Linked DNA regions of Pelodiscus sinensis. The protein of the gene in region 1 interacts with the protein of each later gene in a pairwise test. Links are inferred from orthologs where the notes say so. Each region holds a gene or a part of one and is shown on either strand. Other genes may lie near its edges.

Region 1 (8,238 bases):
GAACTTAGTTAAGTAATTAGTATTTATTTATAATCGCTATATAATAGGTATTTTTACCTCCCTGGTTTTTCAGTATTTTTAAACTGCTTCTTTAACATGTTTTTTAATTACTTTTGAGAGCTTGGTTATTTCCTTTGTGCTGTATTGTTACCCCATGCACACACCTTGGCTATGTCTACACTGGCGCAATCTTGCGCCAGAGCTATGCAAATGAGGCTAAGCATGGAATATCGCCGAGCCTCATTTGCATATCTGAGCCACCATTTTTGCAGAAGAGGCTTTTGCGCAAGAAGGAGCTGTCTACCCTGCCCCTTCTTGCGCAAGAAAAACCCTCTTGTGCAATGCCGTTATTCCTGAAAATAATCAGCGTAGGTCCACTCCTCATGCCTAGGAATCTGGAAATCTGCTTTGTTCTCAGGTCCATCAGGGAGTTTGGTCTGTTGGGCCTCTTTGCCCCTTTTAGGGATGTTGTCCCTGGGTGGTTCTCTAGCAGTCTGCTGGCCCGAGTTTCTTTCTTCTGCCTGTTCACTCCTCTTTAGCTGCCCTGCCAGTCTCCTTCCTAGCCCTTTGATCCTCCCAGCTGCTGTTAGCCTACCAATCAGCAGTGTCTGGCAATGCCTGTATTAAACCTTTGGTTTCTGAGCTAGCATGCAGGAACATACATCCCATGACAGCCTCGAGCCTGATGGGCAGCATCCTAGGCCTGCTTCCTAACCCCTCTTGGCCCAGTGTAGGGTTCTACATCTCATCAGAGGCACCCTAAAAGGCTCATTCCCCACAGAACCTCAGGCACTTGGTGAAAGGATCAGATGAAGTGGAGCTGGCACATCACCTTGGCCATGATGTCCTCCTGTCTCAAAAGAACAAGGACTTGTCAGAGACTTGGCTGCCCCCAGGAATCTGGGAGGATTAATGGCAACTGACACCCTGGGATAAATTCATCTTCTTCTCTAGTGACCTCTAGTGCCAGGGACCCCTTGTCCCACGGTAGGAGGAGCTCCTGCCTTCATTTCCTCCATCTACCTATGATAGCTGTTCCTTAGCAGCTTCTTTTTGGTAGATTTCTCTGTCTGGTTTTGGAAGCTTTTCTTCCATTCCCATTGGGTTGCATCCCTGCCCCAATAGAATAGCAGAGCTCCCTACGGTGAGTGGCATACACTTGGATGCCTGAAGAGGTGGGATTGATCCTAAACTAAGTATGGGAAGGAGATATAGACTCATCCTCCAGCTGGGGCCAATGAGGGGGGTCATTTCTTTACGGGTCCCATTGCCTGTTTTTGATTAGTGTCACTTCTATTGAGTTCTATTTTCAAGCTGGGTTTCCTTGCCTGTGATGTAGCAGCAGTTTGTAGAGCCATCAAATCCCCTCCCTGGTCAGTCGACTGATGTCCTTGGCTGGGTCACTGATGTACAGTGACAGCCAAACCACCAAGTTCCCTAGTTTGGGGAACTATGCTGAGTTCTAATGGAGGAGAAGAGGAGGCTTCATCAGCATTCTCCTGTCAGATCCCAATCTTCCACAGGACAGGAAGTCTTTCTCCCCCAAGTCTTTCTGCAGGAGACACCAGGGGAGAGAAGCTAGAGATAGATCCTCAGTTTCTTCTGCCCCCAAAGGATCCTGGAACAAAGGGATGTGGACAGGGCCCTCCATAAGGACTTTTATTCCCAGCTGCTCCAGGACAACAAGAAGGGACCCAAGGCCAGACATGAACCTGGCTGAAGCAGGTGTTGGAACATGGTCCCTTTAAACGTCCAGAGTCTTCATTGACCCAGGAGAAGATGAACTTGACTCAAGTCTCTCTCATTCCTTGCTCTGACTCTTCCTTCCCAAGGGAAATGGTGCCAACCCACAGCCTCTGCAACTGCCGATCCTGTGGGAGCCAGCCTGCCTACAGCTGGAGTCAGGGAGCCGGGCTCAGAGGTCACTTACCATCAAATTCAGGGAGGATGATGGTGAATCAGAACAGGGCTCTGCTGCTCCATATGGCCTTGGCTCTCTCCTGGGACACTGGACCTGATGTAGAAATTGGTAGGCTCTGGTGGAAGGAAGCAGGTCAGGATTAATAGACTGGTGCACATGCTGTGCAAACAAGCCCATGCTCATTCTTGGGGCTGAGACATTGTGGTCATGGTGCTTGAGAAGGGGATTGTCACAATGTGTCTTTGTCTCTGTAGACTGGGACAATGCTTGGTGTCTGGGCTGGTCTTGTTCTTTCTGAACTCATTTATGAACAGCTCATCTGGATGGATATAGCCCACTTGCTCCTCCCTGGCTCAAAAGTCCTTATTCAGATGAAGGGAGTGACTATGAGGACCCCTCCCTCCCTCTCCTGAATCTCAGTGCCAGTACGAGAGAAAAGCTGAATCCCTCTGAGCCCTCATGGATCTCTAGGAAGGAGTCTGTGACTATTCCATGAGCATCATCTCCTGCATTTCATGTGGGTACAGAGGGAACTTGGGAAGAGGTGGGAGGTTTAAGACTGTCACTCTCAAAGCCAGCCTGAGCCTTGACTTGAAGTTCCAACTCCCTTCCCTGTCCCTGACAGACGAAGGGACCCGCATAGCTCTGCACTGATTGCCCTGACCAAGGATGACCCAATGGGGTGCAAGCTAGGATGACAAACTGGAAAATGGATTTCCAATTTCTCCTTTCCAGTTCTCCCAAGCACTAAAGTAAAACTGTCTCCTGCCTCTCCTGATCATGCTCACCTCCAAGATGTATTGGAGCTTGTCTGTTTCCCAGCATGGCATGCCTAAGGTCAGACAAGACCTTATGCACAGCCTACAAAGGAAGGGCAGCCAGGGGTCACAATTGGGAAACTGGGAAAACTTCTCCTCCACGCACTAGCCCCTGCTCAGCCATTCAGCATCAAGACTCTGAGAGGTCTCACCCGACATCCCAAAGAATGGCCCAGGTCACCACTAGGGGGAATCAGTCTCAGAGCACTCTTCCAGCCCCACCTTTTTGGGAGGGCCTCCCACAAAGCCATAAGAAGGGTACCTGAAGTTGTCTCTGCCTTGCCTCACTGTCCAGCCTGGCTGAAGTCTGGGTCTCTTGGCAAGGTCACCCCCCCCCCCCATACACATACACTTTCTCTAATAGGCTAAGATCCTGCAATAAGCCTTTGTGATGTCACTTCCACACTCACCCATACCCAGCAAGGCTGATGTCCTGCCTCCCCCCCCCCCCAGCCAGCCCATTGGGGGACACAGACTCATCAGAATAAAGTGCTCTTAGTGAGCTACAGACCAACAATTGTTCATAGTCCTCATTCTGCAAGTATTTCAAAAGAACTGGCGCATTAGAGAGCATCAGGAATTGCACAGAGACAATAAATGGAGGAAAGCAACACAATCAAATACATGATTGCTTGTGATTTATTTGTTTGGTCTTAAAGGAGAACAAAAGGGCCTGAGTCTTTCTTGGTCAATCAGTATAGCCCTGCATGGATACAAAATGTATATCCATATCCGCATCTGTATCCACAAAAATAAGCGGCGGATATCCGCATTCACATCTGCAGGTTTGGGTACCCACAGATATAAAGTGGATTTGCAGGGCTCTATCAATCAGCATCGAGACTCTGAGAGGTGGGATGAGGAGGGGTCTCAGCAGATGTCCTGAAGGATAGCCCAGATTACCACCAGAGGAGATCTGTCTCTGAGAAATTCCAGCCCCACCTCTTTGTGAGGACCTCCCACAGTGACAGCATCCTCCTACATGTAAGCGGGGGAATGGTCCCGCTATTGTGGGGAACTTTCCTGGCTTCTATACTACCCCAGTGAAATGGACCAACGAAAGGATCTGAGTCCCTGCTCCCCCTTCCTTTACCTCACGGCCTCCCTGATCCTGAGGGCTCCCCTTCCACTCTCCTGAGTAGCAGAGTCCTTGAAAGCCCAAGAAGGCTGGGCCCAGGTTTCCTGGGGCTTAATCCCCAACCTTGTAGTCACTTGGGGCAAGGGATAGGGTGTCCCCACTCCGGGGTGCTCTCTTCACACTGCATGCTTTCTTGGCCCAGCGATCATTTCATAAAGTTCAAAGCAAATACAATTTATTAAACATCAACTGATTAAAGAGAAAAGAATAAGAAAAAATGAGAATGGGTAAATGAGAACACACAGTCCTGCTCTGTAGCATGGGGACATCAAAACAGCAGTTTGCAGAGTGTAGGGACAGTTCACAGTCTGTTCCTTATAGGTCCCTTATAGATCCTGACCGTGCTGCAGGGGGCTACAGGCTGGACACGCTTGCTCTGGCAGTGACCACATGGCCTCAGGCTCTAGGTGGCAAGACCTCTCTCCCAGTCTGGCCTGCTGGGCCTCTTGACTGGTGGTGTCTCCCTGCCCAGAGCCTCTCCCCCCCACTTTGCTGGTCCCAGCTGCTCACCACACCCAGCTGCAGGCTGTGCTGCTTTGCCAGTCTCCAGCTCCTTGTGTTGCTTCTCTGTCCCCTTTGGCTCTCTGATCACTGCCAGTCTGCTGCTCAACACTGGGTCTGCGCTCCTTGGGCTGTGTGTGCCTGGCTCTGTTGCTGCAGGACTGCCTCTCCACACAGCTTTCTCCTCTTAGCTCTCTTTCCTTGCTTAGAGAGACCCAGAAAAATTCCAGCTCCCACGGAGGAGGATGGGGCTTGGCCTCTTACTTTCCTTACTGGCCTGTCCAACCTGTCAATCAGGCCAAGCTGGAGGGTTGGCTGCTTTCCATTGTCTCTGGGGTCTGTCAGTCTCAGGGCCCTGATTTCTCATGGACCCTTCCCCTTTTGATACTGGGAGCTGGCAAACCAAAAACTCCCACAGAGTTTTCGTAAGGGGCTAACAGTCCCCTTATATATACACATATCAACACACACCGGTACACCCCTCATTGGTGGAAAGAGGGATGAAAGGAAGAGGGTCAAGAGAAGGAAGGAAAGAGGAAAAGGGAAACTAAAAAGGACAAACCCCCAATAACCCCAGTGATTCTACAGGACAGAGTCCTTGGTAGGAAATCAGATCACCTTAACTGAGTGATTTCTGGGTCTAGAATTCAGCTAGTTTCCAGGTGGATTAGACAAAATAGGTTCCAAACCTCTCTGAGGCTCTTACCTTCTAAACAGGGACTACAAAAACCATAGTAGGGAAGGAGAAAACTCTGGCAGAGGTTCCTCATGCTCACATAGATAAATCCTAATTCTCTCTCAGTCCCCAAGAAGAGACCTTAAGAAGGAGCCTTGCTGCCGCAGAGCCATGGGAGTGTCTGACGTTGCCCTGCCATGCGCTTCTGTTCTGCCTGGCTGATGTCAGGGTCTCTCTATGAGGTCACCATCTCCTTTCCAGTTTTCCTCAATAGGCTGGGGTCCTGTAACAGGCCTTTGTGATGTGACTGCCATGCCCCTGTATAAGGCTGGTGTCCTTTTTGGATGTTTGAGTGGCTTCCCCTGGATGATCCAATTTACTGATAGCTGAGACTGGGGATGAAGCCAGCTGCACAGCAAAGCCCTAGAGGCTGCTCCCAGTGCCACACACAGTTTTTCATTAATTAGTAGATTTTAAAAGGTCAGAAGGGACCATGAGAGCATCAAGTCTGATCTCTGCGTATCCCAACCCTCCTGTATATAACAGTAGCTAAGTTTTGATCCAAGCACATACCAAAAAGACATGCAGTATTCATTAGAAACCTCTAGAAATAGAGAACCAATCATTTACTTCAGTAGTTTATTCCAATAGCAAAGCACCCTCACTGTGAAATATTTGTGCCCTATTTTTAGTTTCACCTTCCAGCCACTGGCCTTATTCTGCCTTTCTCTACAACATTAAACAGCCATTTAATGGCTGACATGTTCTCTCCAGGAAGGCACTTAGACACTTCAATGAAGTCACCTTTCAGCCTCTTTTGTAGAAGCTAAACACATTGAGGTCCTTTCAGTAGCTCACAAGAAGTCATTTTTCTCCAGCTCTCAAAGCATGTGGCTCTTTGCTGCCCCATCTGCAATTTTTAAACATCTTTTTAAAATGTGGCTCCTAGAACAGGCAATATTCCAGTCTCAGTCTCATGGATGCCATGTCACCTTCCTGCCCTGCTCACTCCTCTACTCATGTGTCTAATGATGGCTTTAGCCCAGTTTACCATAGAACCACCCTGCGATCTCCAGTTGAGCAGCTTGCCTGGCATGGCACCTAAATCTTTTTCAGAATCCCAGCTTGCTTGAATATAATTCCCCATTCTTGGGGTGTGGCCTGCATGCTTTTGGACTAGGGCAAGGGTTTTGCATTTGGCTCTGGCAAATCTGTTTTATTTGCATGTCTCCAGCTTCCCAAGGGATCCAGATTGCTCTATATCATTGTCCTGGCCTCAGCCTTATTTACCTCTCTGCTACCATTTTGTTACCCACATCTGTTACCAGCAGTGGTTTTATACTGGCTTCCAGTTCATTGATAGCAATTATTAAAACAATTAATTCTTGAGAGCCTCTTCAGAGCCCTAGTACCAAGTACCTGCTCCTTACAGCTCAACAGGAAAAGGCCTTCCAGCCCTGCTCTTACACTGAGGCTAAGCACAGAACACATGCTCAGGAGCTGTGTTATCCATAGGCTCTGAACAACACATGGGGAGATCAATGGATAACAAATGCATTACAGTCCTGTAGTGTAGGCAGGTCCCAACTGAGTCTCCCACCTTGTAAAATGGGAACAATAAATGACACCTGAATGATCTCTGTTTTATAGGTAGGGAAACAGAGGCACACAGAAGTGAAGGGACTTGCTCATGGTCACAAAGCCAGGAAAATGACAGGTCTTCTGATTGCAGAGAGAGAGAACTTCTATCCCTGCCCATTGAAGGAAGGGGAAGCAGTGTTGGGGCAGGTGTGCGTGAGCAGCAGAGGCTGCTTGCCAGAGAGAGTATTACTGGGATCCCTTCCTCTTCTTTCTTCAGGCAGGTTCCCATCACGAGATCGGTCTCCTCATCGCCGCACTTGACCAGGAAAGGATGCTGCTTGAGTGCGAGCATGACCTTGTGCCATGTGCAGCACTGCTGTGTGGTTCCATGACCCAATGCTCCATAGTGGTGGCTTTTATGGGAAGGTGTGTCCCACCATGGAGGCCAGAATAAGGCAGGACTCTCCAGGAACCTTGTGAGAAGGACCGAGGGGTTCCTGTGTGAGAGCATCATGGAGCTGAATGCTCTGGACTGGCACTCCATGTGCACGCATGTGCACAGGTTGTTGTGCAAACCCCCCCTCCCTCCCCAGGCTGAGGAGGTTAAGCGAGGAGCACACAGCTCTTCACAGCGTGCCACCTACCCCACATGTGCATAGGGAAAGTTATAGAACTAACAGAAGTGCCTTCGCCAGGATCATCTGAGGCCTGGTAGACATCCTGAGAGGAGAAATCCTGGGAGGAGAGGACTGGCTCCAGGATGAGGAGCAGCTCCTAGCAGACGGGCATGGTGGCCTGCTCCTTCTCCTTCTCATCCTTGTCCTTCACAACCCCGCCCTCGTGGAGGCTGATGCTGGGCATATCCTGGCTGGACTCGATGACAAAAGGTGTCCGGAGAGGTGACCTGCATCCAGCTGTTCGTAATAGCAACAGGTGTGAGGAGCTGCCCCAGAGCATCCAGTTTGCTCCCTGGGATTTTTGTAGGCCTGCCAGAGCTCTTTTCTTTTCATGCGGACCCGGATGAGGGTCTGCGTGTGTCCTATTTCAGCCAGACTGGCGGCCAACCAGCCACAGACATCAGCATTTCCCCTCCTGGTACAGAGATCCTAGAGGTTGGTCTCTTCATGCCAGACCTCAATGAGGTCCAGGATCTCCACACCAGTCCAGGCCTGTGCCCTCTTTTGTCCCTGGCCAGGGCAGCCGATGGTGGTGTGGGAGACTGGCAGCTGTGGGGGGTTCAGAGGGAGTGCTGGTGTCAAACAGGGCTCCTGGGATAGGTGCTGTGTGGCATGGGGCTGTAAAAGGTCCACACGTGCCAAAAGCCCTTTTCCTTAAGCCTGATGCTTGAAGCTCTGCAGGAGAAGGTGGGCAGTGGAGACGTTAGGTCTGTGGCCAGAGCAGCCACAAGTGCGACTGTGAGAGGCCTCTGGAGGCTAATTATTTCAAAATAGCAGCAGCTGAGCATCCACACTCACGCTATTTCAAAATAACAATTTTGAAATATGCTTTATTCCTCATGGAAAGGAGGAGTTTTTATTTCAAAATAACCAGCCTGTTATTTCGAAATAATGGCTTTGGTAGTGTGGATGATCCACTTGCTATT
Region 2 (7,753 bases), on another chromosome or scaffold:
AGGAAAAGCTTCCTCACTGTCAGGGAGTTCCATCATTGGAGATGTTTAAGAGCAGTTTAGACAGACACCTGTCAGGGATGGTCTAGATTAGTGTTTCTGAAAGCACTTTGAGAAACACAGTAACTGGCTGCCCTGGTTTTTCTACTGGCGCCGTGGCCAAGGAGCCTTGTAGGTCCCATTGGCTCCGTTTCGCTCTTTGTAGCCAAGCAGAGCCACAGGAAATAGCGTGGGCTGGCTCACACCGCTCCCCTCGGCTGCAAAGGATGAAATGGCGCCAATGGGAGCCGCGAGGCTCTTTGCCCGCAGCGCCAGTAAATTAATAAACCAGGGCGGCCAGTTCATGTGTTTCCCAAAGTTGTTTCGCGAAGCACTGGTCTAGATGGGGCTTGGAGGTTCCTTCCAGTTCTACAAGTGTAAGTTCCACCATTCAGGGAGGTTCACACCTGGAAGGTGAGAGAAGGGTGAGTGATGGCCAAACTCACCAATGACACCCTTTCACAATCATCCAGAATCCTGTGGCCACACAAGAGGCCTAGGTCCTCTGCTATGGAGCTAAGCCAGCAGCTCCAGAGATGGACCATTAATCTCCACTGGACTGGAGACAGGACGCAGCAAACTAGTCTTAAGGAGGCACGGAGAGGTTGCAGCAGAGAGAGAGAGAGAGAGAGAGAGAGAGAGAGAGAGGACACTGCTCAGGCTTCGCAGGGGCTCAGCTGTGCTAAACAGGCCTGGCTAGCTACCCTTTGACCAGCAGGAACGTATCCTGCTGGCAAGACGGAAGCAGTGACCCATCTCGAGGCACAGGGTGGAGACACCTCTGTGCTGGTCAGAGTAGCATTTGTCCAAGAGCTGCTTGCTGGCTGACCCCTGGCCAGAGCTGACAGACTTCCCAGCTGCTGTAGCAAGATAGCAAGAGGGTTTCAAAGGCCAGGAGCAGCAGTCAGGCAGCGCTGGGGGCTGGGAAGGCTCTGCCAAGGCTATCAATGCTGGCTACTCACTTCATATTCTACCATGCGCTTGTTGGCAAGGTCGGCCTTGTTGCCCGCTAGGGCTATGACAATGTTGGGGCTCGCTTGCCGCTGCAGCTCTTTCACCCATGTCTTCGCTCGGGCAAACGTTTCCTGGAAGGAAAGGCAAGAGACAGGAGCTTCAAGTCAGTGCCTTGCCTGATGCCGTGCCCTTAGCGGTCAAGGCGGACACAGAACCCAGGCTTCCCAGATCCTTGCCTCAGCCGAGAGACCATCCTTCCTCCTGGAGCACAACAGTTTCATCCGCCGCCCCGCCCCCCCCCCCCACGCTCCCAGCACCGGAAAGCAAAGGGAGAAAGCCAAATGTACCTGGTTGGTGATGTCATAGACCACAATGGCAGCTTGGGCCCCCCGATAATACATGGGGGCCAGACTGTGATATCTCTCCTGGCCGGCTGTGTCCCAGATCTCAAACTTTACTGTGGTGTCATCCAGGCAGACAGACTGTGTGAGAAACGCCGCTGTTGAGAGGAAAGGAGACAGTGGGATAGTAGCACTCGGCTCAGAGCCGTGCAGAGCGCACCCCTGCCCTGAAGAGCTGTCAATCTAAGCCGATTGACAGGCAAAGCCTGGGGAGGGAGCAGTGACTCACTCAAGGGCACAAAGCCAGGTCTCTAGGACCCTAGACTCTGAGCCAGCTGCCTCTCTAGGTGTAGGTCACACAGCAGCAGGTTAATCCTTTCAAGTTGGACCTTAACATTCACCTGCTACTGCTGAAGTCCTGCTGCTGTGCACCAGCTGCATGCTTCTTGGGAGATCAAGCAGCCAACCACAACCAAGAACCAGTCCTGTGTTGGGGAGGAACTGGGGCTCGTGGCTGCATTAAGGAGTTGGACAGACAGCTTCTCCCAACCCCCCGTGCGGGGCGGGGACAGCCAGATCCAAACTGGAGCAGCGTTTGCGCTCAGGCAGGGCAATACATCTCCGTGCGGGATGCAACACAAGTCCGTGCAGGACACCATGACCTCCTTTTTCAAAAGAGACTAGCAGCACATTAAAGGGGGCTTGGTTTGCAGAAGGGTGCACTATCCTTTAGGGTTAAGTTGGGGGCCCAAAGTCCTCTGGACGGCAAGCCTTCAAGAGCCTGGTTCCATTCCCTGCAGCTCTTAGGGCCAGAGTAATGAGGGGTGGGGGTGGGGTCTCTGCATCCCCCTTCAAAAAAAGGCTTTGCCCGTGACTTTCAAACCTAACTGACCCTTGAGTCCCTCTTGCAAAGGGAGAAAAAAAGGACACAGTGGGGTGGTATTTGGCCCACAGCAGAACCCACGTGTCTGGGCTCCCAGTTCCATGCACTAATCGGTGCCTATGGATTTGTATGGCACCATGAGGCACTATTGGTGTCCCCCACCATGCTAGGGGAAGACAGGTGGAGAGAAAGCAAATGCATTAAGAAGTTTCTACACCAGCCAAGACTCAGCGTGGTGGAGGTGAGCAACCCAAGAGTCAAACCACTGCTGGGCGCTGAAGGAGTCACAAATACGTCTCCTGGGGGATTCACCCCTGCGATGACTCAGCCCTCCTCTTTTACAGGTCTCCGAGCTCTCAATGAAAAGGGGGGGGGGGGCTATGAAGGTTTCCACATTATGGATGGGGCAATGGGAGGCACAGAGGGGACAGGGACTCGCATGTGGTCTGTGGCAAAGCCAGGAACAGAACTCAGGTCTCAACTCCTGCTTCAGTGCTCTAGCCACGCTGCCGCACCACCCGTTCTACGGACGTGCCACTTATGAATCCAAGAGGCATCTGGCCGTCTTGCCTCAGCCAGGATCCGAGAATTGGCTACACCACCGTCACACGCACTATGAGGTTCCTCCAGGAGCGCCAGCGAGTCACTGGGAGGCTGCAGGTAGCTCTGGAAGGAGCATGAATTCAGCAACATTTAGCCCCATGCTTTGGGCCCCTCTGAAGGCTGCCCACAGGGATAACAGGCCAGAAGTGACCAGCCCCAGGCGGCGGGTGCCCCGGTGGGGAGCAAGGGAAGCCAGGAGCTCCAGACAACCCGGGGAAGTCTATGTTTACCCGACATGCGCTCCCCCATGGTTCTTGGCGTTCACTTACCCCCAATGGTGCTCTCCTGGTACTCGTGAAACTGACCCTTGACGAAGCGCAGCACCAGACTGGACTTTCCCACCGCAGACTCGCCCAGCAGCACTAGCTTAAACTGACAGATTTTACTAGCTTGGGACTGACCATTCGGCCTGGCGGCTCCTCTGCTGGTCATGGCCTGGATTCTGGTCACACCCTGCGCCCCAGCGGATCAGAGAACCTTTGTGCCACTGACCAGCTCTTGTGAGGGGAGCAGCTGGGTTTGCAGTATCCTACTGGCTCAAGTCTCCTGAAACAGAAAAGGAGGTGAAGAATCAGCAGAGATACAATACTGCGGAGTTCACAGGGCTCCTAGCACTTTGGCCTCAGCCATCAACTCAGCTGAATGGAGCTGCTTTTCACACCACTAGTACAGAAGCAGAGAGCAGCCGGAAGAGGGGCTTATCCCCAATTTATGGGACCAGTAACTGCCTTGAATACCAGACACAGGGGCAAGTGGCACTCTGCTGATCAGCTGGGCGGCATTTGAATTTCTCCTGAGCAGCATAGTGAGGCATAGAACCCCGAAGTCTGACCTGCCCACTAGACCTACTGGGCCAGGCTCCCTTTCCTGCAAAGAGTTCCGATTCCCTGTACACCGAGGCAGAGAGGCCTTTGCTCCCCCAGCCTCACTGGCAGACAAGCTTTAAAAAGTAGAAAGCTGACAAGCAGAAATCAGTCCAAGGAGGGCAAGAAAACGCTGGCTCCTTAGAGCCGAGTGGCCGGTGCACCAGAGCAAGTGAGTCAGCAATCCTAGCAGATGTCTCACTTGCATTCCTGGAGACGTAGCCAACAGCTCCTGGATAGGAGCTCACGCTGAGCCATGTGGTACCGAGGGCTGGGGCGGAAGGGCAGCACCTCTGACCTACTCCAGGAGGAAAGGAGATTCAAGAGCTCTCCGTTACACAGCAACAAGCTCCGGCCCCATTTTGCAACCTGAATACATCTGTTCAGTTTGTTGCAAGTGGCCTGAAATTCCAAATCTGCTTTTCACCTCCCCCCAGCTCTCTGAGGGCAGGACAGAGGGATGGAACTATTTCAGGGTTGCAGTTCTGAAGGGAAATTCCTAAGCAAGGGACACTTTGGTCTGTTTTTGTTTAAGTATTCTGAGATTCCCCACTCTCACGTTATCCCACACAGGGGCTATAGGCAGACCATGTTCTCTTCCCAGCCTCCCTCCTCCCATTTTAAAGCTTTGCTGCAGATCTGTGCAAGAGCCTTTTCACAGGTAAGAGTGAAACTGACAAGACCCTGGTCTCTGTCACATAGCGACTGTCCATAACCAAAGATTCCTTCCCCCACCACAGGCAGTGGGTGAAAAAAACCCAAACAATCAAACCATATGGCTGGGAGTTCTGAGGAGGAACAAATGGGGAGACAGAACGCTGACTCTACATCCGGAGTTATTCTGGTTTAACTGAACCCACTTTTTCAGATAAAACACCAGTGTCTCTCCTGAAAGCTCATACTAGCTGCATGTTTTTTTAGTCTAAGGTGCTGCAGGACCATTCACTGTTTTTAAATTGTGCCAGAGGCTGTGTGAACAGCTTATTACAGTTTAAGTGAAGTCAACTAGGAATAGGTTTAAACTAAACCTAAATAAGCCACTGATACCTGAAGCAGCCAGAGGTTTGCAATAGTTTGACAGGTACGCGTTTAGATGAGGCAGGAGAGTCTAGGTTTGTCTGTATGCAAGTCAGAGTCTAGAAAGCGAGACCTGTTTTAATTCACAGCTGTACAATCAATAATAGAAGATTCTATTTCAAGTGTTGGCCACAAAGGGTATGGGGAAGGGGGTGCTAATTGAAATGGACAGCATCTGAAATAAGCTCCCACACATCTGCGTCCATGCATCAATTTGTGAACTACAGCCTCTTGTCTTGGTTCCAGCATGCCTGTAGCCAATGCCTTCCTTCTGCCAGTAGCTGAGAGTTCAAGCCCCTACGGTTTCTCAGGATTTCAACTAGGAGCCTGCAAGAGGAGTTCCTTTGACCAGACATGAAATGCATTTTAAGAGCTCAAAACACATGCATACTAGTGATGATTTCTTACTGGAATCCCCTTAGAAAGCAATGTAGCCAAACTGTTAATTCAAATAGCTCTGTCTGCTTTGGTACGTTAGTAACCGCAAAAAACACATATCGGGAGCAATGGAAGGCAACAGCATTAAACTCCAGAGTCTGTTTATTTCACCATTTAACGGATTAGTGTTAAGTGAGGCACATCTCAACCCTTTATTTCAGTGAGTTATTACCACCACCAATGAGCCAGGGGGGATTTAGCAAAACGTGTGGTTTGCCTACTGGCTGCTGGGATTTGAAGGATGAACTCTTCAAAGCCCATTTCTGGGTTCCACAGTCAGCACCGGTGACCGCTGAGCTGAGTTTCCCAAAGTACAGACAATTGGGCTGGTGGCTTTAGATCTTGACATTTCCCATTCCCCACATGCTTTGATACAAGCAGAGTAAAGGGCAAAAGATAGCAGAAAATGCTAAGTGTAACCACAGCATTGTGTACAAACCAAATGCTGGGCAGCCCCATACCTCCCAGTTCCATGAAGGTCACCATTTCATGTTTTCTAAAGCAAGAATCCAAGAACAACAGGAAAAGGTTTCAAAGCCCATGATGGCCAAAGCTGCCTGGTAGCAACCCAAGTACTGCGCATTCGGGTTTCCTGGAGCTGAGTTGGCTAAAGACAGGGAAATGCTTCCTTCCACTTTGATGACTTCGTTAACTATGTGAGGGGGAAATGATTAAGCAGTGACCTCATCCATATCCGATGGGAGTTTCTGAGGGAGAGTCCTGCCTGATTCTGGAGAAGCAGCAGTGATTCTGGAAAAACCCAGGCTGCATGGATGCAGGGTTAGAGCTTCAACTGGGCGAGGTCCAGGTTGGGTATTCAGAAAAACTATTTCACTAGGAGAGTGGCGAATCACTGAAATGGGTTACCTAGGGAAGTAGCAGAGTCTCCATCCCTAGAGATTTTAAAGTCTCGGCTTGACAAAGCCCTTGCTGGGTTGATTTAGTTGGGATCAGGCCTGCCTAGGGCAGGAGGTTAGACTCTATGACCTTCTGAGATCTCTTCCAGCTCTATGATTCATATAAGGACAAAGATTTAGACAGAGGGTGAAATATTAGTGAGTAGCAACTACAGTTGGGGCCAGATTTGAAAGTCCTCAGTGCCTCCTCCCACGATGAGCCAATCTCCTTTGGATGTCTAGCCTGCGGTAGCCACAGAATACCGGGCTTCTCCAACTGAAGACACTCCCATTACTTATCCCAAAGGGTGTATTGCTGGTCACCCCATCATCTCAACCTGCCAATCGCTAGTTAGTTACAGTGACCGGTACTGTGTCTGCTGGCTTAAGCAAGTCCCAAGAGGCTAAACATGAAGGAAACTTCAGAGAAAGAGGGAGTATTTGACAACAGGACCACCTCACTGTAAAACCCATCACCACAGATCCTTAGAGGGGACCTACAAAGGGTGGTTTGTTTGGGGTTTGCTTTTTTTTTTTTTTTTTTTTTTAAATGATTTCTCCGGCTATGTCTAGACTGCAGGCTTCTTTCAGAAGAAGCTTTTCCGGAAGAGAACTTCCGAAAAAGAGCATCTACACTGCCAAAGCACATTGAAAAAGCGATTTGCTTTTTCAAAAGATAGCGTCCACACTGAACAGATGCTCTCTCACATTTAAGCTGTGATTACTATGGGCCCCTAGGGCACCTGTGCTTTTTCCCCCCTCTTCTTGCGAAAAAAACTCCCTTTTCCCCATCCACACACGCCTTTTTCTGAAAGAGCTCTTCTGGAAAAAGACTTCTTCCTCGTAGAAAGAGATTTACCAACGTCGGAAACCCCCTCTCTGTTCTTTCGATTTTCTTTCAAAAGAACGCGACTGCAGTGTGAATACAAGTGTGAATACAAGTGAAGTTCTGTTTTTCCAGAAAAAAAACAACCCTGTAGTGTAGACATACCCTCCTTTGAAGGCTCCACAGAAATCAGGAATGTCTCCGGCTTTCCCTCTATGCTGGAGGTCTAAGCTGCAGTGCCCCAGTTGTTCCATCTTAATAAATGATTCTCTCCTCCCCCTGAGACTGTGCAGTAAGTGAAACACGGATGCTGTGACCATTCCAACAAAAAATCCCTTCTCCTCAATTGCTGCAACTTTTCACTTCCTTGTGAGGCTCTGAATTCATTAGTTCCCCAAAGCACCAGAGCTTTCCCGGAGAGGTGGCTAGGAGAGCCTAATCTAGGGACACTTTTCAGCTCCTAAGTTTATCTGAGCTTGTTTCAGCATCTTTGTGCTTAAGTGCCTACTAAATTGGTACCAGATAAAAGTTGTCCTCTCTCAACCACAGGGCCTTCCAGCCCCAGGCTCTCAAAGCCCTTCACCAGCTTATCTGAATGAAGCCTCCAAATACCCCATGAGTAGCATCTCCATTTCAGAGAGGAGGAAGGGAAAGCTCAGACATGAAGTGGCTTTGCCCTGGTCATAAAGCGAGTCTGGCAGAGCTGCAGACAGTCTGACAGCCCTGCATGTCATGCACAAGAACATTCAACCTGCACAATAGCACCTAACAGCTTCTTCGGGTTTTTTCTGTTACTCAGGTTTCCCTCCCACAAGACAACCTTCTTCAAAGCCTTT

Evidence for each region.
Region 2: the proteins of EEA1 (region 1) and RAB5B interact in binary tests that used the Homo sapiens proteins (3 or more experiments, as listed by UniProt). The link is inferred for Pelodiscus sinensis from reciprocal best matches to the Homo sapiens genes EEA1 and RAB5B.

The regions. Positions count from the first base shown.
Region 1 is NC_134711.1:79,636,953-79,645,190, forward strand, and holds the start of EEA1 (early endosome antigen 1), read right to left. Parts: upstream 3,097-8,238; 5' UTR 3,088-3,096; coding exon 3,002-3,087; intron 2,037-3,001; coding exon 1,931-2,036; intron 1-1,930. UniProt on the Homo sapiens protein: Binds phospholipid vesicles containing phosphatidylinositol 3-phosphate and participates in endosomal trafficking.
Region 2 is NC_134729.1:4,309,662-4,317,414, forward strand, and holds the start of RAB5B (ras-related protein Rab-5B), read right to left. Parts: upstream 3,250-7,753; coding exon 3,087-3,249; intron 1,490-3,086; coding exon 1,338-1,489; intron 1,122-1,337; coding exon 999-1,121; intron 1-998. UniProt on the Homo sapiens protein: The small GTPases Rab are key regulators of intracellular membrane trafficking, from the formation of transport vesicles to their fusion with membranes.